Nothobranchius furzeri: one gene and its partner. The protein of the gene in region 1 interacts with the protein of each later gene in a pairwise test. Links are inferred from orthologs where the notes say so. Each region holds a gene or a part of one and is shown on either strand. Other genes may lie near its edges.

What was found.
Region 2: the proteins of dlgap3 (region 1) and disks large homolog 4 interact in a two-hybrid assay, tested with the Homo sapiens proteins (2 studies listed by BioGRID and IntAct). The link is inferred for Nothobranchius furzeri from reciprocal best matches to the Homo sapiens genes DLGAP3 and DLG4.

What each region holds. Positions count from the first base shown.
Region 1 is NC_091751.1:28,427,631-28,443,030, reverse strand, and holds part of dlgap3 (disks large-associated protein 3), read left to right. Parts: intron 1-1,354; coding exon 1,355-1,569; intron 1,570-9,680; coding exon 9,681-9,783; intron 9,784-12,579; coding exon 12,580-12,796; intron 12,797-15,400. UniProt on the Homo sapiens protein: May play a role in the molecular organization of synapses and neuronal cell signaling. Could be an adapter protein linking ion channel to the subsynaptic cytoskeleton. May induce enrichment of PSD-95/SAP90 at the plasma membrane.
Region 2 is NC_091750.1:46,515,576-46,530,975, forward strand, and holds the end of disks large homolog 4, read left to right. Parts: intron 1-3,147; coding exon 3,148-3,195; intron 3,196-3,311; coding exon 3,312-3,413; intron 3,414-3,582; coding exon 3,583-3,755; intron 3,756-5,032; coding exon 5,033-5,145; intron 5,146-5,255; coding exon 5,256-5,347; intron 5,348-7,387; coding exon 7,388-7,494; 3' UTR 7,495-10,509; downstream 10,510-15,400. UniProt on the Homo sapiens protein: Postsynaptic scaffolding protein that plays a critical role in synaptogenesis and synaptic plasticity by providing a platform for the postsynaptic clustering of crucial synaptic proteins.

The DNA of each region.
Region 1 (15,400 bases):
TGAGATGTTTCTTGGTCTGCCACTTGGAGCCTTAACATGAACTGTGCTTGTGATCTTCCATTTACTCAATATGTTGCTAACTGTGGAAACAGACAGCTGAAATCTCTGAGACAGCTTTCTGGATCCTTCCCCTAAACCAGGGGTGGGGAACCCAGGTCCATCGAGGGCCACTATCCATCATATTTTAGTTTCAACTCTGCTTCAACACACCTGATTTCAATCAGCAGGTGATTAACAGGCTTCTGCAGAGCTTGATGAGCTGCTGAACAGGTGAATCAACCATGGAGTCTTAAGTGTTGGAGCAAAGACATGCAGGATACCAGCCCTCGAGGACCAGGGTTCCCCACTCCTGTCCTAAACCATGATGGTGTCAGGTCTTTGTTTTCAGCTCATGTGAGGGTTGTTCCGAGACCCCATGTTGCTTCTCTTCAGAGGATGTTCGCAGAGGAGGGAAACTTACAATCGGCCCCTTAAATACTCTTTCTATTACCTGAATTGACCTGTACATGGAGGTCAAAGGTCAAAGAGCACATCAAACCAACTTTGAGTTCCAATAATTATTTCTAAAGGCTTTGGAATCAATAAAATAATAACAACGCCCAGATGTATGCATCTGCCTAATTGTGTTTAATCCTCCCAGATTGGTAATGGGGTCAGATGGGGTCCAGGTGCTGTTTTATTTTTTTATTTATATTTCTTCTTAGGAGTGCACCACTTCACCGTTGCCAAGGGTATCAACCATGTTAACCACCCCCTGTCATGGAGGGGTCATCTGATAGGACAGTGTAAATGATTGTTGCACACTTTCTGTAAGTCCTGTAACTTTGTTTCACTTCTCAAATATTACTGTGTGTGTTTCCTATCTGATATATTTAACATGATTTTTTTGTAACAACCTACAATTTACTGAGGAAAATCAGGAAGATTAATAGGACCGCCCAAACCATTGCATCCCACTCTAAATATAATTAGGTGTATGCATTTATGTCCACGTGTGTTTGCTTTGATAGTGCGCATGAGCATGGCTGAGTGTGCTGGTGTTTGTTTTGCAGCTTCCGTGCTCGCGTGCGGGTTCTGTATGTCTGAATTATCTCTCTTTCTGTTTCAGGTCCAAATGTGTTTTTGCTGATTTGACCGTTCTCTGTGCTCTGTAACAGCAGATATTGGGAAGCACCTTCAATATCTCAAGACTAACTAATTTACATTGTGGATCATTGACTTCCCTTAACATCTAGAGTAGCAGAAGAATGCATACTTACTTTTAACATGTGTTGTCTCACATTTCTGCATTAATCCACCCATGTCATGTTTGTCACATTTAAGAATCTTCTGATAACATGTGAATGTGTCTCAGGTCCCTTCAGAAGACTGGGGAGGTGGATACAGTGGTAGTGGAGCAGTGGACAGCGGAGGGGAGATTCCCTGTCGCCGAATGCGCAGTGGCAGCTACATCAAGGCCATGGGTGATGATGACAGCGCCGAATCAGAAACTAGCCCTAAAGCTTCCCCTAAGTCTACTCTTGTTGCCCAGAGAGACGCCTTCAGACGATCCATCAGCATGGATCAAAGGTTAGAAGGTCACAAACTCACTGGTTATGTCACCGCTGAAAAAAGATCGCTCATGGTTTGAAAACCAGTCAAGGTGCAGTTGTTGAAACAGTCTAGACCAGGGGTGTCAAACATGCGGCCCGCGGGCCAGATCCGGCCTGCAAGCGGGTTAAGTCCGGCCCGCGAGATGGTTGTGTAAACTTTATTTTCATACTTTACAATGTAGAGTGAAAATAAACTTATGTTTGTGAGGAAGTTTTCTCTGTAATGAGTATAAATAAAACAAAGCTGCGCTCAAGGCTCTCACAAGAACTTGAATCCCATCCTGAAGTTGGCCGCCACTCAGGATGTGACTTCTGATATTGATGTGCTGGTGAAAGCTAAACGATGTAAAGTAAAATGAGTCAAATATACTTTAAGTGCTGCATGAAACTGATCTAGCCATGTGATCTGTAAGCTCTTTGAATCACTAAGGAATGTTTTTTTATTTGTTGATTTTTTATTTTTTTCAAAATTTCAAGTACACTTCAGGTGTTGTACTTGTACTATTCTGATACACTGTCCTCAGGCTCCAGCCTTGTTTTATATTGATTGTATTAAAACAAAGAAAACAATCTGAAGTTGTTTGTAATTTACCGGTCCGGCCCACTTGGGACTAGATTTCCCTCAATGTGGCCCCTGAGCTAAAATGAGTTTGACACCCCTGATAGACAAAACAACATGTGAGGATTAAGCAGGTGAAACTGATGTTATGGTGGTTTGATACAAGAATAACAAATAATTGGAAGATTAACAATCTAAAAAAAATCAGTATGGAATATTTTACATAATTAGAAGGTCTGTGGATTTGTTCTTACATATCAGGGAAATGACTTCAGAGATGAGTGCAGGAGACAGCCAATCGCCATACTCATCTCTATATGGCTAGAGTCATCACTTACACCTAACCAATAAAAAGCACAGACCCAAGCCTTCCCCTCTCAAAGCTGTAAATATTTATATCAGAATCAGAGGGGTTTTATTCCCATATGTGCAAGAATCACAACATTCAGAAATTGCTGTGGTACTTGGTGCAAGAAAGGAGAAATGATAAGTAAAATTAGAATGAATAAATAAACACAATGAAATGATAATAATATTGGGAGGCAATCATTAGAGAGGCAGCTACTTTATACAAGTCAGTGTAGGCACTGGTCAGAGTGGATCAGTTCAGGTAAAACAACACAGAAAGAGAGACAACATTCTTTTATGCAGCGCCTCACAAGAGAAAATCACGAGGCGCTTCACAAAAACAAAAAAAACAAAGCATAAAAAAGATTTAAAACATGATTAGAAATATGTTTCAAATGAGAAAAAAACTACAATTGTGATTAAAAATGTAAGGAAAGAGAGAAAGAAAATAAATAGGAAAGTGGAAAATCAGTGGATCCATGGAAAGGCGGAATAAGAGCAGAATAAGGAGAGGGTGGTGATGAAGGTCACACCAAAGCTTGAACAGGTGAGTTTTCAGCTGCTTTTAAAACGAGTCCACTAGGGCTGCAGCTATCGAATATTTTTGTAATCGAGTACTCTATCGAATCTTTTATCGATTAATCGAGTACTCTAATAAATTACCCTTTTATGTTTTTAAACCCCTATGTCAAATAGCATGTTATAAAATATGAAAGACCTCTTAAAATGAGCAATTCTTCAAGTTTTATTCAAAATTTGTTTTCAAAACTTCAGCATTTCAACTTTACTTCACAGTAAACAAATGCCTGTGCAAAAAATAAGTATACGACCTGAGCCGATTTTCCCCTCGTGTGAGAATCTAAAAACTAGGAGGATAACTGTTGAAGAGGCGCTGCGAGCGGCTGCGGCCCAAACAGCACCAGAACCGCTCACGGCACATGCGCAAACATGGCTCTCCAGCTATTTCCCTTTTAACACACGTCCGTTTTCATTTCTACACTTTTTTTAACACACAATAACAAGGATTGTCGAAAGCATGTTTGTCATGGTTATGTCAAATTATACTGATCACACAACATTTATTTGCTTTCTTTCGTTTTCCTCATAAATACCTGCATCCTTGTAAGGTTTGGGCCCAGACAGAGCCTCTGCCTTGTCACTCACTCAGGATGTTATCAGCTGTTTGTCAACAGAAGAAAACACAAGAGTCCAGGATGTTACAGAGCTCTGACTTTTTATCCTTTTTTTTTATGCAAACAATCCATGACATTGAGGCATGGATTCCCCTTAACAAGCAATCAACCAACACCAGTGCTGAATCCACCCTTTTAAAGCTAACTTAGAACCAACCATTATGACATGGGCAGGGCAAACAATCAGCTTGAAATCCTGCAATCAATAAAGTACATCTCAACAAAATATGTCAAACAATCTATTTACATATTTACCTCCTACCTTAACTCAAAAGAACAAAAACAACAACAACTGCACTTAAACAAACACAAGATAACCTCCTCTCCCCCCTCTCTCTTGAGTCATTTAGTTGCTTCCTCATTAGAGCTGATTAAGCACACCAGGAACTGATCATGGCTGCCTATGGGCGCGCTTCCATGGCAACACTTAAACAAATGACCTCAGAAGGAAAGGAGTGATGATCACCAATAAATCAAGTTAACTTAAAGTAATTTATAGATTACCAAGCTTATTTGACCTAACACACACACACACATACACACACACACACACACACACACACACACACACACACACACACAAACACAGAAATACAGGATTAAACAGAAACACGAGACATAACCATTAGTGAGGAGATAAATCCCTCACAGTCCTCCTGCAGCAATCCCGAGGGACGACCAACATCAATAGCAACACAATAAAAAGTCAGACGTGTTGTGTAAAAACTGCTATTTTTAGCACATTTTTAGGTTCGACGTGTCCGCTTGCAGAAGAGACATTTACATGTGGATGTTTCCTGGTCAGGTGCTGCATAGGGTTGGGTACCGAATTCTGTACTTTTTAAGGTACCGACCGAATTCCATAGAGCTCCGGGAGTTGACGTCACTTTTCCCAGCATGCAACAGTTCAAATCGAAACGGCGCCATATTGGCATGCAGAAGCCGGCAGCTGGACTATTTGTTATTGTCCAAAAACTCAATCAAACGGGAAATATGGTTGATTCCTGTTGTGCCCCAGGATGCAGAACAGACGCGGACGACATAAGGAATGAGCCATCTACAGGATTCCCCAAGATCCGGAGTGCCGCAAACGTTGGATCAAACAATTGTAATAAAACGCGCTAGTGACCGGGCGAAAATGAAACTGTGGGATCCCGAGAGTAAAGGATTTCGCTTATGCAGCGACCACTTCATATCAGGTACTTAAACCAACGTTTCCTCAACTGTGTATGGCATTTATTTTAAATGCTTTTATTACGATTCTTAGTGGGCTTCCTAAACTTATTTTGGCGTGGCTTTTTCTGTCTTATTACTCATAGCAACAAGTAAACATCACGTAAAACGTTTCCTCGTGAGTTCTGCGTGCTGCCGTTTCCGTGTTTTATGATCACAGCAATTAACCGGCTAAGCTGTATTTAATGTTTAAGCAATGGTTGATCAATTGTCAGATCACACACCGAGACTACTTACGTGTAAATCTGTTATTTGTCCGTCCATCCATCCATTTTCATCCGCGTATCCGGAGTCGGGTTGCGGGGGCAGTAGCATGACTTCCCTCTCCCCAGCCGCCGGAGCCAGCTCCTCCGGGTAAATCCCAAGGGGTTCCCCGGTCAGGTCCGGTGTTGTGCCGGTAAGAAGCCCGCTCCGACAGCTTCTGGCGTCGGAGCGGGCAGTAGAGTCGAGAGTCCCAGACCTTCTCCCCAGCTCCTCCGGCCGGGGGGATCCCAAGGGGTTCCCCCGGCCAGGTCCGGTGTTGTGCCGGTAAGAAGTCCGCTCCGACATCTTCTGGCGTTTTTAAAAAGTATCCCAGGGGCACGGTAAGGGTCGGAGATGTTTAGTCTATTTAATTTCTGACTATATAAAACGATTTCTTCTGTTTTAAAGTGTGAAGTAAACTCCGACGAAGTAAAATCCAAGCGGATCCCGTTCATGTTCATGGTTACATCCGTGTTTGTTTACCTTTTTTGCATGCCAAAATGGCGTCCACTAACTGAGAGTCACGTGGGGTCCGGAGCTCTATAGTACCGACCGAACACCGATTCACTTCATTTGAAACGGTGCCTCGTTTCGGTACCCGTCCTTCACAACGAGAACTTGCCTAGACAGCTGCGCATGCGCAAGAGCGTTATGTCGTCGGTCGCTGAGAGCCAGTTGTAAACAGAGCAGCATGGTAGAAAGAACGCACGCTAAAGCTTGGGTCCACTTCACTAAATGTGATGGGTAACTGGGTGATGATGAAACCAGCGACAACGATCTAAGTGAGACATCCTCATCTTAATCTGCTCCGGTAGGTAAATAAAATGTAAGATAACGTTAGCTTGATTTGTTAGCTTCCGTTTCGCTAATGGTGCATTCGCTTTCTCCTCGGAACTCCGAAATTCCGACAAGAAGAACATGAACGCACTCTAAAGTTTGGCTTCACTTTACTAAATGTGACGGGTGACTGGGTGAAGATGAAACCAGTGACAACGATTTAAGTGTGAGGCATCATCGTTTTAATCTGCTCCAGCAGCTAAATGAACTGTTTAAGCTAACGTAGCTTGATATGTTAGCTTCCATTGGCCCCATTGTTATCAGCTAATGGTGCGTTCGCTTTCTCCTCGGAAATTCTAACTTCCCAGTAGGAAAAATCAATTGAAAAATGATGGCAAAAGGAATGAAGATACACAGTAAATTTAGTTCACAGTAAAGATGTTTGCTTCAGTTTAATTATCAGCTTATAAAACTACAAGGACGATGTTAAAATACAAACAGTTGTATGTTATTTATCGTGATATTTATCAAATATGGTTATAAATTGAGAAAAATATATATTTAATAATAAAAGAAAATTAAAATATTAAACACTCAAAAGTATCGAAAATTGGTACCGTTAAGTACCGGTATCGATTCAAATGTCAAAGGTACCCATCCCTAGTGCTGCAGCATGGAGGATGTGGTGTTGTGGTAGGCTAGATCCATTTTACAGTATTTACACTGGACTACGTTTTCCGCCTTATGAAGAGAAAAATGGTCCCACACCTTTGACATTTTCTGTCTTCTTCGCACTCCTCCGAGGTCCACATTGTCCGCCATGGCTTAAGAGAAAGTTAAGTTATATTCGCTACTTGCGTGTGCATTCAGTGCAGTGTGTATGTACGTCACTTATTTTGGTCCGGGTGAAACATGACCCCGGGCGATTGCAAAACCAAGAATTAATTAAACATGAATTAAACGAATCCTCGAGGCAGAGAATTTGACTTGAGGCTTTTTTGTACTCAAATTTTTCAAGGTACTCGAGGAAGCGTTTCAGCCCTAGAGTCCACTGATCTCAGCCTCAGGGGGAGAGAGGTCCAGAGTCTGGGGGCCACAGCAGCAGATGATCTGTCACCTTTGGTCTTTAGCCTGGACAGGGTCAGTTGACTTAAACAAAGCAACTGAAGTGAGCAGTTCTACTGACAGAACTGCACGCCTCAATGTCCTGGAGGTGTACAGATCCTGTTTAGAGGAGAGTTTGCAGCCAGTGACCTTCTCAGCAGAGCACACACCATACTGCAGCCTCTTCATATCCCTCATGGTGGCTACAGCGTACCACACGGGGATTGAAGAAGTGAGGATGGACTCAATTACTGTGGTGAAGAACTGCCTCATCGACTCTACTGGACTCTACTTCGGCTGCCTCAGGAAGTACATCCTCTGCTGGGCCTTTTTTTTCTTTTGGAGGTGATGGTGGTGCCCAGGAAGCAACATGAGTCCACCATCATGATTGGAGTGTCAGACAGGATTATGGGGGGTGGGGGGGGGGGGGGGTGGGATGGGGCTGTGTGCTTCCTAAAGTCCACAAATACCTCTGCTGTCTTCTGTGTGTTTAGCACCAGGTTGTCGTGGCTGCACCAGGACCCCAGCCGGTCCACCTCCATTCTGTAGGCAGACCCATCCCTGTCCGAGATGAGCCGGTGACGGTGGTGTCATCTGCAAACCCAATTCTGTGTAACACGTGAATCAAAACACTAGAAGAAAGCTGCACAAAGACAGATGAACATTGAAACATCTAGATCATCATTAATTACCTTATTTGAGTCTGCTGCATACCACACACTCACACACAGTTTTTAACAATCAGCTGTAAATAAAAGATTCAAGACACAGGGCCCCCGCAAACAAACTGATCTCTCTCTCTCTCTCTCTCTCTCTCTCTCTCTCTCTCTCTCTCTCTCTCTCTCTCTCTCTCTTTCTCTCTCTCTCTCTCTCTCTCTCTCTCTCTCTCTTTCTCTCACACACACACACACACACCTCAGAGGCACACAGGAACGTGATGGTTTGGGAGAAAAGCAAAACTTCAAATAAAGTCAGCTATTTACGGAATAAAACAAATCAAAAGTAGATAAATGAAAATGCCCACCTTTCTTTTCTCTCCAACTTGTGAGACCCCAAACTTATACTTTTGAAACCTTCACATACAAACAGACATGAACACAGGACTATGGTTCTTAACCCAGTTAAAGTCATTTCTACAATCTCCTTAGATGCTTTCTCTTCTTGATGCATGCCAGTGATCTGACCCTTCTGAAACAGACTAACATATTTTCCACGACCACCAGGTGTGACTTTCCACATGGTTGTTTGAGAAATGAGAAGCAACTCACTGCAGCAGTTTGGATTAAATAACTTGTTTCCAGCTGAAAGACAATCACCCATGCAGTAATTATCCATTAACCCTCTGGAGGCAGGCGTTGCAGATTAGCAACGTTAAAACCTACCTACCTGGTTACTCTACATACGTATTTCATGAGCATTTTTTAACTCAGAAGAACCCCTGAAGGACTTAGTTGTTCCTCCTTTTATCAAAACTTATTTTGAGCCTGAGATAGATAAGAGGCTTGTACATTTTTTGCTTAGTTAAATCCAGGTGGTGACTATGTTATTTTCTGCTGGACAGTGTATATATAGTAAAAAGAATTGGTCCAAACACTGGACCCTGTGGTACTCCACATGTAACCCTAGAGTACAAAGAAGATTTCGCATGAGAAATCTGTCAGACCGATAAGAAAAATCAGCCTAGAGCTGTCAGTTCCTTTGGTCCCTACATGTTTGCGCCTTTTAAGACAATAACGTGAATAATGACTGTGTCAAAAGCAGCACAGATATCCAACAAGGCCAGAACAGAAACAGGATCCTTAACTGAGAATATCATTAGTGACTTTACTGATGTGGTTTCAGTGATTTAATCATCAAAAGTTTAACAAATAAAGGCTTGAAATATTTAACTTTGCATGTATGGAGTCCATGCCATTTATTAGTTTCACCTTTTAAGTTGAATTACTGAATAAAATTAACATTTGCACCATATTCTGAATTTTCAACTTTGACCTGTACTAACTCTGTTTTCATATTTTTGTTGAAACTGCTCCTGTATCAGTTAGACTTTTTTGCAACAGTTTTTTGTGTTAGCCTATAAAAATAAACACTGACCTGGAAACAGGGTGAAAAATTAGCTACCCATTATTCTAATTCATTACCAACAACGAGGCAATCCTCACAGAACATTATTAGCCAGTCTTCAAAGGTGAGGATCCTCCACACTACGTTTACTCCCACAATTCTTTGCTGTTCATGCATTATTACATATAAATATATACAATAATGTGAAATATTGTGAGGTTTCCCATTTAATTCTACTTCTGACCATTGAACGGTGATAATTATTCCAACATCTGAATGATGTTGGATAAAATTCACATTGGGATCTGGATATTTTGCATTTTTGCTCCCATTTGAGAGAGTTATGTATTTTCATAACCCTGAAAGACTCAAGCTGATGCGAGCATTAAACATGACCCATAAAAGTCATGTGACTGTTATTATTAACCAGTGGACTGTATTTTCCAACATTCTAACATAATTATAACAAACTAAATGGGTCTCACGGCCAGAGCGCAGCAGCACGTCAGAAGGTTGGTTTCTTGTTGTTGTACTCTCCACTGATGCTTATGTTTCTGTTGATTCCAGGTACTCGTGTAAGCAGTGCCCAGATTCTTACCCCAACAGCAGAACTGCCCCGAAAACCCACGCTCGCTCTCGCAGTTACACTCGCTCTTTGACCAGCTCACAGGTATTAAATTACGTCATGTCTGTGCATGAATTAGATGGAGCTTTGGGTCTCTGAAAGTGTGTTTCTAAATTATAAATGAATGCCATTCCTTTTGTTAACAGCTTATTGACATGTTATGAGAAATCAAGTTTTAGACGAGTCTAAAATAGTGGTGCAGTTGGTAGCACTGTGTCGTGCAGCAAAAAGGTTGCAGGTTAAAATCCAGGCTGCAGCGTGTGCGTGGGGTTTGCTTGTTCTCCCCATGCATACTTGGGTTTTCAACAGGTGCTCCGGGTTCCTCCCACTGAGCAAAATCCAAATTGTTAGGTCATCTGACTGCATCAAAAAGTGCATTTGTTACATATCTGGTTGGAATTTATTGCTTTGGATGAAAGTGTCTGCAAAACAAATAAATATAAACCTAATATTTGAACAGCATGAACGGCTGTGAAATGATGAAGATTGGAGTTGCACAATGGCACAGTCGGAAGCATTGCTGCCTTGCAGCAAGAAATTCCTGGATTAATTCCTAGCTGGTGGCCTTTCTGTGTGGAATGATTTCCCTGTAGGTGCTCCGGTTTCCTCGCAGAGACTAAAAACATGTATGTCAGGTTATCCGCTCACTCTACATTTTGCTCTAGGAATGTGGGTGAATGCCGCCTCAACAACAGAAGCACTGAACAGGGCCCATTCGGACTCCATGTGCCCCGCCTCCCCAGGAATGTTTTGGAAGTTCTGTCAGAGGTGGGTATTGAGGCTCCTTCTGACAGGAAACTCTTCCAGACATTCCCAGCAGACTCTCACAATATGTTTGGTCTGACCGGCATCCTCCCCCACCATCAGAGCCAACTCGCCACCAGGTAGTGGTCAGTTGACAGCTCCGCCCCTCTCTTCACCCACGTGTCCAAGACATGCAGCTGCAGATCAGATGAGATGACAACAAAGTCGATCATCGAGCTGCGGTCTAAGGTATCCTGATGCCAAGAGCACACATGGACACCTTTGTGTCTGAACATGGTGTTCATTGTGGTAAGTCCGTGACGAGCACAGAGGTCCAATTACAAAACACCGCTCGGATTCAGATCGGGGGGGGGGGGTGTCGTTCCTCCCAGCTACACCTCTTCAGGTCTCACTGCCGTTGTACGTGAGCGTTAAAGTCCCCCAGCAGAACGCGGGAGTTACTGGAAGGATCGCTCTCCAGCACCCCCCCCCCCCCCCCCAAGATCTCCAAAAAGGGTGGGTAGTCTCAACTGTAGTTTGATGCATAAGCACAGACCGCAGTCAGGACCCATCCCCCCACATGTGGGCGAAGGGAGGCTACCCTTTCGTTCACCAGAGTAAACAACCAACGTACAGTCCCACCCCTGCTCAGCTCCTCTCAGTGGGAGCAACTCCAGAGTGGTAGAGTGTCCAGCCCCTCTCAAGGAAACTGGTTCCGGAGCCAGAGCCAATCATCGAGGTGAGTCTGACTATATCTAGTCGGAACCTCTCAACATCACACACCAACTCAGGCTCCTCCACCAGCAGAGAGGTGACATACCACGTACCAAGAGCCAGCTTCTGTAGCTGAGGATCAGACCGCCAAGGTCCCCGCCCTCGACTACCACCCGTCACACACTGCACCCGACCTCTTTGGTTCCTCCCATGAGTGGTGAGTCCATAGGGAGACCCATGTTGTCTCTTCGGGCTGTGCCCGCACGGGCTCCATGGGTGGAAAGCCCGGCCACCAGGTGCTCTCCAACGTGCCCCACCTCCAGGCCTGGCTCCAGAGGGAGCCCCCGGTGACCCACATCCAGGCGAGGGAAAACGGTTTCCATGTATATTTTTCTTCATAAGGGGTCTTTCCTGTTTCTCTTGATTGTTGCTTATTTTGTACTTTTTTCGACACACATCTTCTCTTAATTTTCTCAAACAGAAGTGCTTGGAGCACTCAAGCCATCTGGAAAAGGTTGGCCATGAGTTTTGGTATTGATATCTCTAAAATGTTTTAAGATATACAATGTAACAATGCATTTTTAGTGGGGAAGGCCTTACTTTAAAGTCATGGTTGTCATAGTAACCAAGTGGATGGAGCCTAAGGCCTAATTTATACTTCTCCATCAGCCACATATCTGGTTCATGATAGTCTACTATTGTATTTACGCCATTTTAATGTATTTCAAGGACTTTTAACACAAACAAATTTGTCCCTCATTCTCCTCTTCCTCTTTCTGTGACCGACACCTCTAAACCCACATTTCTCGTCATTTCTGTCCACAAATAAAACACTTGCTGTGTATCTTTGTACTCCTTGAGTCGTGGGCGAATAAAATTTCGTATTGTCTGACTTCTCCGCGAAGCATTATTCAATCTGCCCCATGTCCCCTGCAAGGTATCTTTTTATTTTTTGTAGGGGCAATGGCCATTGACATTATATATTGACAATGGCGGTGCTGTTGACGAATTTACAGGAAGTGGCGTTTTGACCGATCCCAGGCTTGCGGTCTCCATCACTTTTGATGGATAGTTGAGAATTGGGGCATGTCTCTGTCACCCTCTGTGAGCCTGTCGGAGAGCCCTTGTGCTGATGCATAACGGCGTTGCGTGTCTCCATACCAACGCAGACAGAGAAGTATAAATTAGGCTTAACTTCAAAGGCACTGTTGTCATGGTAACCAAGAAATCATCATTTAAACAGCATTTCTGCTACAAATGCAACATGTCTAGTTATTTATAGTTTTTAGAAATGAATACGTTCAAAATGGCCTAAAAATCTGGTTAAAGATGTGATATTTAGCCATGCTTTTGTTTAACACACCTTTACCTCCCGATGTTGAGCTGGGAGACACGCTGAACCACCAGTTTGAGGCTGTTTGTGAAACTGTGTTCGGGGAGGTGGAGTCCCAGGCTGTGGAGGCTCTGGACCTTCCCGGTGTGTTCCGCACTCGCAGCCACAGCTACATCCGTGCAATCCAGGCTGGCTGCTCGCAGGATGACGACTGCCTCTCCGTCTTCTCCATGTCGGGCCCCCAGGGCACCATCAAGAGCGGGGCCGGTGAGTAGCATGGTCCACCAGCAGGCTGCATGTGTGTCAGAACAATGTACGATGGAGGGCACACTGGGTGAGGAGGGTCGATGACAACCTGTCAGTTTGGTTTGTTACACAAAGCTATACTCCTGCCTTCTACACAGCTGCATGTCATGTGCGGTGTCTGCACCTGTTTTAGATTTCATCCTCACAGCCTTCTTTGCTTTGCCGATCCCTTTTCCTGTGATGATCTGACCTTTCACCCCAGATTTCTCCTCCTATGCATTTGTGTATGTTCGCCAGCACAACACATTCTCACACCCTAAGCGTCAAAACATGACGCATGTGACCAAACGTCAAAATATGACGATCAGGGTGCCTCAGTGCGTCGGGAGAGGGCGCGCAGGGGCACGCAGGGGCACGTGTCACCGCAGGGATACGTGCCCGGCGCCCGTGGTGACAAGGACATTTCACCTCGAACCTCCAGCAATTTAACCTTCCCCTCACCCCCATCCTAACCTTAACTCAGTCATTTTCAATTAAGCTTTGCATGCGCAAGCTGGTTAAGGTTAGAATGGGGATGAGGGGAAGGTTAAGTAGGTCACAATTCGGTCAAACGTCCGTCTCACCGCGGGCGTCGGATACCGACGCTCTGGGACACCCTGATCGTCTTTTTCGACGCTTAGGGTGTGAGAATGTGTTGGCCATCAGCACAGGCGTATGTGTTATTGCCCATGCTTCTTCTTCACCTCTGTTTCTTCTCTTTGTGTCTCAACTCCCTCCCTTGTGTGACTGAAGGTTTCTCGGTTACAGTAATAGGTACAGCAACACTCATGGTTATGGTGATAGCTCAGCGTGCTGTCCTGCTTTTGTCTCACTCTATTTCTCTTCTTCTAACCCTCTCATCACATCTCCTGATGAGTTTATGCTAATGCAGCCATATAATCTCCAAGCCCTTCACTAGAAAATCCCTTTATGTGCTTATTTTGTTCCTACTCGGTGTGTGTTGGAAGGTGCCACTAAATTCCTAGATTTCTGCAAATGCTTGTTGAATTTTTTGAAGATTCTGCAAAGAAGCATTTACAGAAATCCCAGCAACAATGTGCTTACTGACAGTGTTGGGAGTAATGCGGTACAAATGTAATTAATTACCATGATGCATTGATTTTTGCAGTAATGTGGTAATGTAAGGCATTACAGGGAAAGAAAATGGTAATATTTACTCGGTACAATTGTCAGTAACACGGTAATTACAATGCATTTTTGAACCCAGAATCAAGATGTGGGTTTCCTAAAAATTCAAATTGCGGGAAGCCTGTAAAAAGATCCAGTATCCACATATATGACGTCATTTATGGACTCAGCTTTGCGGGCATTCTATGAGCAGAGAGGACGCAGCGGTAATGACTCAAATACTCCAGCTGCGTCCTGCGCGCGGCCGCTGTTATATTCACAAAATCACTCCACCAAAACAAAGTAATTCGATTACTATTGTTTATATCAGCCCATATTCTCTGGTACTTCATGTACTTTTCAGCTGAGTTCATAATCTGTGCGCCGGTGATTTCTACTCATTGCTGCTGGAGCGCAGTACATATTAAGCTTTTTATTTATTTTTTTGGCGTTCGGTAGATCCCTTTGGCTGATTAGTTAGAAAGTAGGAAATCTAGTAAACAGTTGTTCTGGAAGACAGAGAAAACATGCAGCATGCAGGAAGGTTAGAGAGAGAAAGGTCAGGAAATCATTCAAATAAAATCAAGAAAACAAAACAAAGTGCTTGAAAAGAAAAAACAAGTAGGGAGATTTATCCCCAATACACATTTTTTACCAGTGAAAAGCAATAATATATAAGCATTTAATATTTATACATGAGATAGAATCAGATCACCCCAGAAGTCACTCCCACATCCAGGGCCGTATCAAGGCATTTGGGGACCAAGGCAAATATAGGCTTAGAGCCCCCACCACCCCACTCCCTGCTCAGTTAATATAAGATGGCAGCGTGCTGAGAGTACAGATTGTTGTTGCTTTTATTTAATAAACAATCATTTTAAAGCACTGTTATTATATCTGACTGTTTTTAACAGCAACCCTAGCTCAGACACCACATCACCTTCCACATATATGTCATGAGCTCACTGAGCGTCACATTACCAGATTCATATTGAAGTCGTATTGGTGAAAGTAACTTAAAGTAATGCAAAAGTAGTGTAATGCCTTACATTTTAAAATCAGTAATATTGTAATGTAATGAATTACTTTAAAATGAGGGTAACAAGTAATAAATAATGCATTACAGTTTTGAAGTAACTTGCCCAACACTGCTTACTGACATGATGTTTGCACACAGGAGGTCACAGCTTCAGATAGAATCCTTACTGTCCTCCAGAGATTGGGTTAAAGAGAAGATGGCTCAGTTTGTTTTCAACAGACTGTTTCATGTTCGTGTTCATTAGAGGTTTTCTTTTGTCACTGTTGAACTTTTTATATTAAAGCTTTAATAAGCAGAGTTTTAACAAAGCGAGGCCACATTAAAGTCAGGTTCATAACTCTGTGTCACGTTTTGCACCAGCCTGATTCATTAAATGTTCTTGATGTTCCCTCTCCACCTTCCTGTGCTGGTTCTCCTTT
Region 2 (15,400 bases), on another chromosome or scaffold:
AGACATTCAGGAAATGAAACGTTTTAGAATAATAAAGACAGAAAGCATAACGGGAGAAAAAATAGTCAAGTTTTAAAGTGACAGTGTGTAGTTTTCTGCCACTAGGGGGCAGGACATACATTTCAGGGTAGTTTTACACCATATCCCCGTGACTGTTGCTAGTTTAAAGTAAATGTAAAGTAATGTTGTTACCTGTGGAGCAGAAAGCATGCAACCTCTGCACGGCTGCTCAGACTTTGATGGTCCTTCAGTTCATTCCGTCGAGAATGCAGTGTTGTTTGTAGTTTTTCTGGCATTGTACTTCACAGATCTGCTCGAGGTTCTGCGCCTGCTGGTGATGTCATCATACTAAAGCAATACCACTCTTTTTCAGTTCTGTTTTGTCACATCGGTTTTGGACAGAGTTTAGCAGTTTTGTTATTAAAGAGAAAATTGCAGGTTATTTTTTTTCTTATTCATATAAAATGCTGCCCAAAAATACTATTTGAAATGCTTATTGTGGATATTTTGTTGTAAAATACACAACAGCAGAGTTTTCTAGTAAAAAGTGGCCTTTCTCAGCAAAGCTTCTAAAAAAGCTCTTTTTTCTAAATCTGAACCTCTGACGTGACCAAAGGGAGTTAGAAGCTAGGCGCTGCCTCAGCTCAATGTGGAGAGTGGCTGGTTTTAGTTTAGAGAGGTCATGTTATCCAGTCAGTGTGTGTTTACGAGTTTTGGATTGTGTTCATTTAGATAAACTAGAGTCTGTGAAGGCTGTACCAGCTCCAGCCTGTCTGGACATCGAGTCCACGGGTTTCCAGATAAGAGAAACAACGCCTCTATCTCTGTGCCTGAGGGCGTTTCTGCAGCTGAAAAGACGGACTTCTGTAGCCCACATCGGTCAGTACCGGGACAGGGAGGTCCACGCTGGGCTCTAGAGACCCGTGGTGGGGTTAAAAAATTAAATGTGGCTTTCTGGAGCTCATATCCCCATCAGAACCAGGTCAGAACCGACCACCAGAAGAGACACTCGGCTCAGCGGGTCAGCTTGTTTCTGGGTCGGAACCGGATCAGAACAGCCGCCTGGACCTCCAGGAGAGGATGCACAGCTTTTAAAAATACCAGCTGGACCGGCTCGCTGGTGTCTGGGTCAGATCCAGCTCACAGAAGCCCACCTGAGCTCCAGAACCGGATGACAGACGTGTCTCTCCCTCTCTAAGCACTAAACTACGTTACGTGAACGGATATTACCGAGTATGAGACAGCTGACAGACGCTCATTAGTTTATTATTGTCAAGTATTAATATTGCATTAATTGACCAATACTATTGTAATTGTCTGATACATGATAGTAATCTGTACAATATTGTGATGTTAGCACATGAGTTTAAGCTAACATCGTTAACTCACCTGCTGCTCCCCAGCTACTTCTCCCCAATCTCTCTGCTTTGACTGATGGTCTCTCCCTCTGGTTTGTCTCTGCCCTCTGGGGCGTGCAGCAAACTCATAACTTCATGGGTCTGGTCCATCAGAAGTAGAATTATAAACATTTAAAGTTTCGTCTGTGTCAGAGCCGCATTAGAGTCCATATTTTTCTCAGGACTCCCTCAGCTGACGTCACTTGGTTTGGCCAAAATAAAAAAAAACTTTCTCACAGAAATGACTCTAAAAGCCTAAATAATTTATGCATGTGTAAAAAATGTTTTAAACCAGTTTCTATTATGTTTCTCTAAACATTGGTTCATGGTAGTTTCTAACCTGCAGTTTGCTCTTTAACTTTGTGTTTCTTACTGCCTAAATGTTTGTGAACTTGGTATCGTAACTTCCATAAGTCATACGTCCAGCCAATCTAGTGTTTACTAGACAGGCACCTCGACAGGCGAAGAACCCCGAGCAGGCCAGAAGAAAACACGTCTAATATGGCGTCCCCAAAGTCGCTAGACCCACGATAAGTACTTGATTTTATGGTTTCAATTATGATAAGAAGCCGCCAATATTCAACAACTGGACATCATTTTATTCATTTTCAACAACATTTTGATGGATATTTCCAGAGATTAATGGTAAAAATACATATTGTCTGTTTAAATCAGCACTTCTTTTGTTTTCAGCATCCAAGGTAGTTTTTAAAATGCTACCATTATCTAAGATAAATGTTATATTAAAGAAAATCTGTGTAAAAAGAAGTTTTCTTTAAATTAGCTGATTTTGTTACACATCAGAGGCCCATAAGCAGGATTAGTGTTTTTAGTGAGGTGATTTCAGCTTTAACTCCACAAATAATAAGCAGATTAATGTTCAGCATCCATGTAATAATGCTACTTCCAGACTGATCTTTTTAAATATTTTGTTTCTCAGACAACAAGCTTCTTTTTTTTGTGTGTTCTTAGTGTGTGAACATCTGACCAGTTTCATTTTCCCAGCTATGTCTTATTTAGCCTAAAACAAAATGATTCACCCAAAGCTCGTTCCTGTTGGCCTTTACAGTTTTAGAACCATTTTCTTTCCTTTAATAAAATGACTGATTTATAAAATAGCTCTTTTCCATTTCCTGTGACTCATTTGGATGCTCACTAAACTTTTTGGTTTTCATGTTTGCGTCTGCATTCATCCTTTCAACTGTTTTAACAGCCAAGTTGAACCATTCAACACATTTTTAAAACCATTTAAAAGCCAGGATGACAGAAAATGAGCCTCTGCAATAAATCGGTTCAGTTTGGGATCATTTATCTGTTTGTAAATCTTTTAGTGCAAAGTCACATCTGTCTCACGTTTCTCAGAGGCAGCGCACATTCAGCAGACTCATTTAACATTAAAATACACAAACCTAACTAACCGTCACATTCTGCTGATGCGTAAATGATGCTTATCCATTCTCACATTTATACGGTCAGCATCTGTTTCGGCCAGCTTCCTGTTTTGCCTGCTGCAGCTGTGATGCTTCGAGATGGATGGAACAATTTGACTATTTGTGTTCCTTAAAGGAGTGAAATAATCAACAGCAATCCAGGACCACAATTTGCATTCACATGCACAAAGAATGCCTCCAACATATAAGCTAGCAGCTATTCAGGGCATATGAGTGATGCACACGGGCGTGACGCCAAGCTGAATCTCATTTCTAATAAAAAAACGATGTGATGCTGACTGCCTCTGTTCTGTCACCAGGGAGAGATAAAACCCCCCACAGTTATGAGACAGTTACTCAAGTGGAAGGTAAGACCCTGCAGGAGCGGCGGCTGATGGCTTTAATATGACATTTCATTTTTGTTTTGATTTCCCTTATTCGACTGATCCCACTCTCTTTCTCCTTCCTCTCTCCTCATGACAAGTGCATTACGCAAGGCCCATCATCATCCTGGGTCCGGTGAAGGACAGGATAAATGATGACCTGTTGTCCGAGTTCCCTGATAAGTTTGGATCTTGTGTCCCTCGTGAGTAATCACACGGTCGCGCATAAAGACTGATCTGCACAGTATTTAATTATTTTTTATTATTATTATATTTATATTTTGCTGGGGGGGCACCACCTGCAGCATTTCTAGTTTTCATTTGAAAATGAGCATATGCATTCTTTTTATTGTTCCCTTCTGCTCCCGACAGACACCACGCGGCCCAAGAGGGAGTACGAGGTGGACGGGAGAGACTATCACTTTGTGTCATCCCGGGAACAGATGGAGAAGGACATCCAGAGCCATCGGTTCATCGAGGCAGGACAGTACAACAGCCACTTGTACGGGACGAGTGTGCAAAGTGTCCGTGAGGTGGCCGAGCAAGTACGTAGGAATGATGATGAAAAGGAAAATAATACGTACCGCTTGATTTCTAGAGTGCTTTTAACGCGGCTTTACAACCGACCAAAGCGCTGCACATGGTAAAACAACACAAGCAAAAAAGGGAAATGGAATCAAACCACTAAAACAAAGTCAAACCACAAAATGCTAATTCACGGATTTAATATTGAAGTATGATGGTTGCTTTATGGTTTAGGAGTTGAAGGCCAGGGAGAAGTAGTGTGTTTTCAGGTGTGATTTAAAAATGGAAATGAGTCCTGGGAACCCCCCAAGGCTCTTTACAACACAAGCAGTCATTCACCCATTTACACACACATTAACACGCTGGTGGTGATGAGCTACATTGTAGCCACAGCTGCCCTGAGGCACACTGACAGAGGCAAGTCTGCCGTACACAGACGCCAACTGTCCCTCCAACCAGCAGGCAAGGTGGGTCAGGTGCCTTGCCCAAGGACACAACGACAGCAAAAGACTGAGCGGGGCTCGAACCTGCAACCTTCTGATTACGGCAAGCACTTAACTCCTGTGCCACCGTCGCCCATAAAATAGAGGGCACTTGTCTGACCTGGAGAGGAGGTGCGTTCCACAGTTTTGGGGCACAGATGGAAAAAGCCCTTTCCCCACAGGTCTTCAAGCGTGCCACAGTGAGGAGGAGCTGATCTGCAGAGCGTGAGGAGGGTGGTAGAAATGGAGGAGTTCGCTTAAATAGGGAGCGGTCTGACTGTTCAATGATTTAATTACAAGAAGCAAAATTTTGAAATTGATCCTGAACTGAACAGGCAGCCAATGGAGTGATTTAGGTTTGGGTGTAATGTGCCGTCTTCTGTCAGCTCCAGTCAGAAACCTTGTTGCTGACGTCTGGACGAGCAGCTTTACGGATGCCTTACAAGCAGGAGTTGGAGTAATCTAGCCGGGATGTAATGAAGGCATGAATCACCCATTCTGACATAATGATTATTATTACATTTTATTCATATATGAAGTTATGAAATAGAAAAACACCTTCTTCACTCACATTTGATCAGACTCAAGGATGTTATTTAAACCTGAATATCAAAATTCAGCACATCAGCTCTAGCCTCCAACAGCGCTTTCATTTGTTATGACACCAATGATCAATTTTCCCCTAAAAAATCCTCACGACCGTGTGTGTGTGTGTGTGTGTGTGTGTGTGTGTGTGTGTGTGTGTGTGTGTGTGTGTGTGTGTGTGTGTGTGTGTGTGTGTGTGTGTGTGTGTGTGTGTGTGTGTGCACAAGCAGCAGGGGAAGCACTGCATCCTGGATGTGTCTGCTAACGCTGTCCGTAGACTACAGGCAGCTCAACTTCACCCTATCGCCATCTTTGTTCGGCCCAAGTCGCTGGAGAATGTTCTGTATGTATTCACAACTCCTCAAATGCAGCATCAGCAAAAACGTGCTATGGCAACAACTGTGTGTGTGCGTGTGTGTGTGTGTGTGTGCGTGCGTGTGTGTGTGCTAACAGAGAAATCAACACTCGTCTGACAGAGGAGCAGGCCAGGAAAGCGATGGACAGAGCCCTCAAACTAGAGCAAGACTTCCTAGAGTGTTTCTCAGGTGGGAATGCTGTTATCACAAAGATGTGACTATTTTACCCATTTGGCTTTTGTATTTAATTTCGTAGAACATAACATTTACACTCAAGTGTTAAAGATCCAAATAGCCCTGAAGCTAAAGACAAGTGGGAGGTAGATTACACCAGATGTGATTTGGTAAAAATAAAATAAAATAAAAAATAGATTCACTGTTTTGTTCATTTTTCTTCTGTTTTGTTAAAAATTTGTATAAAAACAAACTTCTACTAATAGAAATCCTGATCCTTCCAGCATATTTTTACAGATTAGCAAACTTTTACAGTTTAAAGTTGAACTTGATAAGTTTTCCAGTTCGCCCTTTACTGGTTGGAACAACAAGCTAATGCTAACAGATATTAAATAAGCCTTAAAAGAAAAAGATCTACACTGCTTGACAAAGCAAATATCATTACTTACAAAGAAGCTAGGTCACCATCAGTCTGTGATTTCTTATGTTTCCAATGTTCACTCTAGTTTAGTTCCTTGCTTCCCCTCTCAAAAGCAAACTGGTAGCCTTTAAACTAGCTACCAGCACAGTAAACAGCTATTGCCGTAAAGGTTGGTTTATGCTTGACGCATCTGCGAGGTCCGCACGGCTCCGCGCGGCCCAAAATTTCCGCAACGCGCACCTAGGAAATTTTCTAACCACGCGGACGGTCGGACGCGGAAAAACATGGCGGACTGGCAGAGGTTCGTAAATACAGACATTTGTATGATTCAGCTCTCAGAGATCACCGTGATCAACATGTTGTTAATAATTCTTGGAGAGAAATAGCTCGCACTGTCGGAAAAGACGAGGACGCTGTTAAAAAATGCTGGAATGCCATGTTGTAAACAGTAATTTTTACTTCTACAATGGTGTAGTGTTGGATGCATGCCATAGAGCTCCATGCTGCCCCATTCAGTCTGGGAGAATACTGGCTCACCGCAGAGATGAGCCGCATGAACCATAAACGCTGCGAGTTGTAAAGCGCGTTCCAGCCACGAGCCGCATCACCAAGCGGAAAGTAAATGCGTCAAGCATAAACCAAGCTTAATGCAAGCAGAGACAGCCCCCCCCCTCCCCCCACTAGTGTTCCTGTCCAACCACAAAACTGTTAAGTGCAGATTCCGGTCAGCAGAAGGCGACAGAGTGCTGTCCAATGTGAAGCTGGTGAATGTTCTCGCTCAAAACCACTGAAACCAGTTTGAAAACAAAAGTGTTTAAAGTGTTAAACACTATCAATTGTTGCTTTAATAGATTTTAATCCCAAGGCATGGGATATTTACGAACAAAAACATGCAAAAAGCACAGAACTTTAAAACGTCTTCCTGAGAGCATTCATGTGGACCATTCAAGTTAGGCAAGAACATTCTGTAAATGTGCACGTCACCCATGATCTTTCATAGAGTTTAAGATCATAATAGCTGTTTTGGTCAGATTTAAAACTAATTTATACAAAATGTCTCCCAGATCTTGGAGTTCATGTGTTCTCTCAGGTCAGACGTTTCTACAGGAAGACAAAAGCTGTTTTGGTTACGTAAACTTTGGCTAATGCACATCAGAGCTGCTGTTTTAAATCACCGTTAGCACTCAGACGTTTAGCACTCACGGCGCTTCTGTTAGGTACGCTTCAAGCTTCATTCATCCACTGATTCATGACTTCCTCCACCCTGAATGAGATGAACGCTTTGAGTCCCACCAGAGTCTTCTGGGATAACTCAGAGATTTTTAATATTTTAGAGATGCATTTAGGGCACATCCCAGCAGCAGATCTCTGACAGATCCAGTGCTGTCTGCGGTTTCTACCACATGCCAGATTGCTGTGGTACGTGACATTGTATCAGACACTGAAAAAGTAAACAAGTTTCAAAATGTGTGGAAACATTTGTAAAAAGATTTTTTTGAATCATTTTTCTAAAAAGTTGCTCCCTAAGTTGTCTACCAAAGGCATCCTTTAATCTTATCATTTTTCTGCCTCCTTCCTTCTGTCGCTGCTCGCTCTTTGATGATTTTCTTCTCTTTTCTCATTTCCTGCTGCAGCTGTCGTGGACGGGGACAGCTTTGAGGAAGTTTATCATAAAGTAAAGACAGTGATTGAGGAGCAATCGGGGCCTTACATCTGGATCCCCACCCGGGAGAGGCTGTGATGCTGCACCCGGCCGACCTCCCCTCACTCTCCTCTCCTCCCCCCTCCACCCTCAAGGCCGAGCCAGCCTCGCCCGCCTGCGAAGTCCTCCAGCGAAGTCGGCGCTTAGGCTGCAAATGACACAGAGACAAAAACAGGAAGTGACCCAGTGAGACAAAGAAGGATACCAAAAACAATAAATGAAGGAAACAGAGACTTTATGACTCGTGTAAACACACTGATGTGTAATTAAACTGAAAGAGACAGAGAGAAAATATTTATCTGTATTCCACTTTTAATGAAGTAGGGTTCAATACTTGAGGCCCAGTTCACGATCAGCATTAAAGTGTGTTTTGGCTGTGACTGCACCCTTTAGTGATGCTTATATAACGTGCACATACATGCATCTAAACCCAAATACACAATCAGATGCGTTTCCCCTCCTGATATCAAGTAAATTCATTGGAAAACAGTTCGATTTGAGTTGAATTTTCAAGCCAGGTGTGAACTTCGGTCCTTCATGTAGATCTTTAATCAGTCTGTGTTTGGATTCCAGATGTTAGAGGAGAGGTCAACACAGGAAGGTCGGAGATCACCTTTACAGACCACCATGCAACAATCCTCCTGCAAGATCCCCTTGGCTCTCTGTCTTCCACTTCCTGTTTGTTCTGCCTGGTTTCAGAGCAGGGTTAGGGTTAGCTGGTTTCAGAGCAGGGTTAGGGTTAGCTGGTTTCAGAGCAGGGTTAGGGTTAGCTGGTTTCAGAGCAGGAATGTTGGCAGATTGGGAGCAAAGCAGGATTCCCTTTTCACCCTTTTTGAGCTGTGGTTCCTGAGGAGAAGTGCCTCAAAATCCAGGACTCACTTCTTAAATAATTGAATGGATTATTTTAAGGCAGTTCAAATAATTATGTTTAAAAGTCAATATGATGAATTTGTGCATGCTTCCTCAACAACAAAGGAGACGAGAGCGATGAAGAAAGGCAGACGTGAAGGGTTTTAGCATGTCTCGTCAAGGTAGAAGAGGCTGGCCCCGAGCCAAATCGATGCTCTGATTTACAGTTTAGCCTCTTACGCGCACATGCTCACACACAAACACAGTCTCACACTCGTCCAGCAACACGCACACACACCCCTCTTGCAGTAAGAGCAGGGGGAGACCGGCTGTTCTGACCCGCTTGTCAGAATCCAGGATGAATGTTATCTCTTTAGGCACAAACAGCTTAACTTCACCGCCGGTCACTCTTCCAAAAAGATCCCCCTCAACCACAGACGTACACGCTGTTTGCAGTGGCCACAGCAAAAGCCATTGCATTTGTGTGCGTGTGTTTGTACATGTGTGTGTGTGTGTGTGTGTGTGTGCGTCTGCAGACGACTGTGGCGACTCCTTTCGCGTGGAGGGAATAGGTCTTCTTGTATTCTCTCTCTTCCACTTTTCCCTGCATCTTTCTCCCTCTCAAGTCCACACAAATTAAAGCTAAATCATGTTTAAAGAAAGAAAAAATATCCAAAAAAATCCATGGCCTATATATATGAATATATATATAAATATTTATCTTTTTTATGACAATTTCTAACAGGAATAAGTCTGTACAAATCAACATTTCCGAGCAGTTTTCTGTTGATTTATTTGGGTGAAATTGCTGTTTTGGTTGTTGGATTTCCTCATAGACACATTTTATTGTTGTAAAACACAATAAATGCTGAACAGAAAGGAAAAAAAACACATTTAAGATGATTTAGAGAAGACCTCAGACTCAAGCTTTGAACTGACATCTATGACATGTTCTTGTTTGAAAAAAAATACATGTGCAATGCAGCTGTGTGTCTCTGTGTGACTGTGTGTGTGTGTGTGTGTGTGTGTGTGTGTGTGTGTGTGTGTGTGTGTGTGTGTGTGTGTGTGTGCGCTTGTTTGCTGCCTGTGCGAGTGGTGAGAAAGTGTGTGTCGTATATAAATTATAGATGATGCTATAAGTGAAAATACATCCTTTCTTACAGCTTATGGCTATGATGTATAAAATGTGTGTGTGTGTGTGTGTGTGTGTGTGTGTGTGTGTGTGCGTGTGTGTGTGTGTGTGTGTGTGTGTGTGTGTGTGTGTGTGTGTGTGTGTGAGAGAGAGAGGGAGAGAGACACACACACATATGAAGATGTAGTGCAATACTGCTATGATGTTATGCAATGAAGATGGATTTATGTGTAAGATTTTTAAAAAGGGGTATCTAAAAAGTTTGCACTGGTGGCATTAAATGCTAATATGAGCAGGAAGGGGGCGGGTGAAGACCGATTAGGAGCATGCATTTGTATTAACTTCTGTGTTCTGAATTATAAGAGTGAAGGTTTTGATGGCAATCACCATCCATATTTACTGATTTTCTTTATTTGATCCTCTCAGCATAACGTGGAAGCCAAACATGTGACAAAAATCTATATTTTTTTGTTTTCTGGTTTATTTATTTTAAATTGTCACTTGTCCATCCCGAGTTGGATTTTTTTTTTTTTTTTCCCCACATCGAGAAAGCTTTTGGGTCTCGGCCTGCAGACGATGTAAATACAAAGTTGGGTTTCCATGTGGATTTAGGGTCAAAATGCTAAATTCAAGCAAATAGAAGAAGCCATTAAGAGCTACAGCCCAGTTTAAATTACATGTACACTCTGGGTGGGCAACACACTCACGCACACACACATGCACAAACAAAATAGCATGTGCACATATGCGTTTACATCTACACACCAATGGAGTCCCAGAGAATGTGCTCATGAATGGAATAATATGTTTTCAGTTTCTTTCTTTGAGGGTTCGGTGTATTTCTTAATATCTCTCTCAGCCATCCGTATCATAGTGTGATATTCCTTATAAAGTATATGAATTTTTACAGAAAAGACTGAATACAAAGTTAATGACAAAGTCAACTGATGCAGAAAAATATATTCAATAAATAATGACAATATGAAGCAAAATAAAATGTTCCAGTTCAGTGAAGCGCTTGTTGTAAATTAGCTATAAAATAATAAAATTAATTTAAAAATGCTTTCTGAAAATGGACTCTGATGTCTTCTTTTGTTAATGCAGTTCTACGTTTCCACGTTGGTTTGATCCCTCACGGCTCCACAGGTGGACGTGGATGGGCAGTCGGACCAGAAGAGGGTGCTCCATCTCCATCCTCAGCTGCTTACACAAGCTCAGCTGTTTTCAGCAGAGTTGCTCTAGTTTTTTATTTATTTTTTAGATGACGGCTTTCCTGGTGAAAAACCCCTTCCTCCTCTCCTCAGGGGAACCTTTTTTTTCTTTTTTTTTTTTTTTTTTTTGCTATTAAGCAGAGACTCTTGATGATCCTTTTGCCTGATTACATGCCTCATATGTCTGTGTGGATGTGTAGGTGCTCAAACTGTTTTCACAGCTTACATCAGTTACAACTGGTGGAGGCTAAACGGGTCATAAACATGCTACAAACATACCATAAGCTTTGATTTCTTGTTGAATTGCATCTCTCTCTTTGGCTGTTTGGAGGCCTGTTTAAGCTCTCAGAACTCCAAATTAATTCAAAACCTGAGGTTTTCTTAGTTTGACTCAGGGAATCAGAGCACCCATCCCACAACTGCTGCCTGGTTTCTAAGCAGCCAACCTGTTGCTTGGAGCCATGATGAGACGACTTCCCATCTTTCAGGCTGAACCCCTGTGGCTCAACCACCAGGTAATCAAGCCCAGTGGAGGTCTGGCTTCAGGAAACTTCCATAAGCAAGGTATCCTGATTTAATGTGATCTTCTTTCATCAAGGTGTTCATTATTGTCCTACTCACACCCTTCCTATGAGACCTGTGTCATGATGGACCCTTTAGGGCAGAGGTCCTCAAATAAATGTGTTCAAGGGTCAGAGATGTTTCCAGCAGACACAGTGAGAGCCAGTTCAAGTATTACTGTATCTTAATTTATTAATATTTAAAATGGTTTTGTTTTCTATCTAACGGTGGCACAGGAGTGCTTGCCTCGTAATCGGAAGGTTGCAGGTTCGTGGACCACTCAGTCTGTCACTGTCGTTGTGTCCTTGAGCAAGACACTTAACCCACCTTGCCTGCTGGTGTTGGTCGGAGGGACTGGTGGCCCCTGTGTACGGCCGGCTTGCCTCTATCAGTGAGCCCCAGGGAAGCTGTGGCTACAGTGTAGCTCATCGCCACCAGGGCGTGACTGGGTGAATGACTGATTGTGTTGTAAAGCGCCTTGGGGGGAGGGTTCCAGAACTCTAGAAGATGCTATATCAAATACAGACCATTTACCATAAACTGTTTTGATTGTAGTTTTAGTTGTATTCGGAGAACATAAACAATTGTTGATATTTGGGACATTCATTTTGCTGCTAAACTTCAGCAATTGGGGGCCGTTAGAGCCCAAAGTGCTGGGGCTGGGTGGAAAGGTCTGGCGCCTCTGGTGAGTCTGGGTGAGGACCTTGAGGCTTGGGATATGGGGGCAGTCATCCCCGGATGTGGATCCATGCTGGGCCTGGGGAATTGGGGCCTTGCTATGATGCTGGTGGAAGGGCGGGAGCATGGGGCAGTGCCTGGCCCTGGCTCCGGGCCTTGGGTAGACCTTGGTACCTTCTGGCAGATGCACTTATATTCCATCATGGAGGAGGGGGATGTCCGAGAGAGGGAGGATCCAGCTTGACATGGGTGCCTTATGTCTTACGTAGTCTGGAGGTTGGTCAAATGTGGGGGTGGGCGTAGATATTCTGCTGGGGTGGGGCTGAGTGGGTGGCCTCAGTCTCTGTGGGGTTCTGTGATGCTGCTGTTTTGGGCTAGGGCTAGATGGACTGGGGTCTCCATGCTCCGGATGGGTTTTGGGAATGAGGGTGCATATTGGTTTCAGCGGGGAGCTGGCTCCCCGGAAGGCTTAGGCCCTCCAGCTTTTTCTTCTAACTATATATTATTTTTTTGTTGATGAGACAGTTTCTTTAGAAATGAATGAACTAAACTGTTATGGTCATGAATTTTATTGTGTCCATAAGAATGAAATTCCAGGAATTATGCCACTTTTATACTGAGCGCGATACAGATGCATTCTTGGGGTCCGTGCGGCTTGTGGACAGTCTTCCACCTAGCCCAGAAACCTAGACCAACCATAGCAGTAGGTAGAGTTTGCACTGCGGGTTGGTCACATTATCTGCTTCAGATTTATTTATTTATTACAGATTTATTAATCTGGTATAATTCCTTAGACATGTCTAAAGTTTGAATATTCTAGTCAGCATCCATATAAAACCTATTTAACAAGCTTGAGTGAACTTCTTGTATTGTATAAAACAAGTATAACATGGTAGCAATTTTCTGTTGTGTGGAGGCGCAGAATAAATCAGATCATCCATCTCTTTGAGGCCGATTCCTGCTGCCTTTTACCAGCTGACAGTGACATAGAGAGTGAAACTGGGGGACTGGAAAACATCCATCATGGAACAGGAACAAAATCTGAAGCTCCAAACTGGTGAGGCTTTCCAGCCACTGGGTTCCTCCCACCCACACGACTCTGCTATCCTCCACTCAGTCATTATGTCTGATCCATACACCAGGCCCTACAGTGAACCTACCCACTAACTGCTGCACGAACGTACAGCTGGGCCATTGAGCAAAACGGACCAGAAAAAATTTAATTTCTTCATAATTAAAATACAAAATTATTACAATCTTTGAAAATTGTGAAATGTTTTATTTCACAGATGCTAAAATGTGTAAGCATCTTCTCTCACTGCCAGGGGATAGCGTAGTTTTAAACTAATGAGAAGTTCAGAGTAAGCACACAGAATAATTAACGTATGCACGTGATTAGCATCAAATTACACTTCAAATATGGAGAAGAAAAGAGATGATTGGTCAAACAGTTTGATCGCACTGGTCTGATGTGATCTGAGTCATTTTCATTATGTGCTGCAGTCGATTCAGCAATCTGTTTCAGCCGCTCTCCACAGAGCAGCCGGCTGAAGCCAGAGTAATACCTCTCTTTGTGTACTGCTGGGGTCCAGAGCTGCAGTGACAGAGGAGGATTTGGATGAAAGAACAGCTGGCATGTGTGTCATGTGAGGGTTAGAAGGAAGACTCAGCTGAGAATGATTTCAAAGTAACCGCAACACTTCTGAACTTCAGTGGCTGTGTGTAGAAAAAGCGCTGAGGCATCTCAACGCGGCATAAGCACTCCCCAGGTCTCGGCTGGCTGGAGGGCGTTCTACCTGAAACGCTCCTGGAATCCACTCCTCAGCCCCGACCTCAGGACGATAAATGTTAAATTCTGTCTCCGGTCATCCAGAGGAAAACGTTCAGTCAATATCGATGTTTATTTTATAATGTGTTGCCTTTGCAAACTAAATATATATTTGTGTCTCTCCACTGCCAAACTGTCAGACTGATGCGTCGATATTTGTCTGAGCAGATTTATTTCTTTATTAAAGGCAAGCCTCTTACAACCAGGAGTCCATCCAGTAGGTAGATTTTGTCTCTGGAGTTTCCAACCCATCGCAGAATAGATGGCGTTCGCAGCAGACCTGTTTCGGTAAGGCATTTCTTTTCCACCACCAAATACGTTGACAATAAGCAGATGACTGTCAGCATCATTTGTTACCTTAATTACAGCATGGCAGCTACAGCCTGAAGAGCAGGATCAAACATGGATCTTCACAGCAGCACATTCATCTTCGGGCGTTCCATCTCAGCGTGCTCTGGTTTTATCTTGCTCACTTTCAAGTCCTCTTCTTCTACTCTTCCATCTGTGATCTACTCTAGACAACCTTTGCTCAGTTGTTCAAACCGTCCATGTGGTTAGTTTTTAAGTAAAGGTGAATTTTGTCACTTTGGCTGCTTTCTTGCTCCTTATTAGAGTGACTGCATGAAGATGGAGTGACTCCTCCTCAGACTGAGGCTCGGCTAGGTGAGGTGCAGGATTCTACGTGTGGCGATGTCACATTTTGTTTGTGTGAAAACAGCTGCCTTCTTAAACTCAGAGATCAGGATAACACCTGCTCCTGTGGTTAAATCTAATAGGTTTCTCTGCTTCTCTCTGACTTTTAAAGTCCTGTTGTGACACCATCCTGGAGATAAGTGTTGGAATAAAAATAACATTCAGGGAGAATTAATAAAGCAAACAGTGATTTATGTCTGACGTAAGAAAACACTATCCTCCATCGTTATGAAGAAGCAACGTTTGGCCTTCAGTTTAATGTACAACTTAATTATTTCTTATTGTTGTTGACAATAAAGTTTAAAGTTCCACAAAGAAAATAATTAACTGAAGATGTCATTTTCATATCACACGGCGTTTTAAATGGAAGGCTTTGGTCCTTTACAAACAAAATGATCATCGCAGCATCCATCTGTCCATCATTTCATCCGTCCATCCATCTGTCCTTTCATCCATCCTTCCTTCTGTCAGTCCGTTCATCCATCCATCCATCCAGTCATCCAACCATCTATCTATCCATTTATCTGTCCATCCACCCATCCAGCCATCCAAAGATCCAACCATCCATCCGTCCATCTGGTGTTATAAGCGCCTATCTCCGGCAGTCACTTAGTGAGAGGTGAGGGACTCCCTGAACAGGTCACCAGTCTGTCACAGGGCTCCATGGTTCACTTTGCTAATGTTCCGGCTAAAATGAACATTTAATGAAAAATTGAATGTCCAAATGCTTGCATGAATTGCTGTTGGAGTTTTGGAGCTTTGTTAAGATGACAACCTATCACCTTTCTTGATGCATTTGGGTTAGCGAGGGGTTCACAACCTTGGTCTTGGGGGTTCCCAACATGTTTCAGTTGTTTCCCTGCATCAACACACCTGATTTTAACCAGCAGGTGATTAACAGGTCTCTACATAGCCTGATGAGATGCTGCACAGATGATTCGACCACTGAATCAAGTGCACTGGAGCAGAAAATAAACAAAAACCTGCTGGATA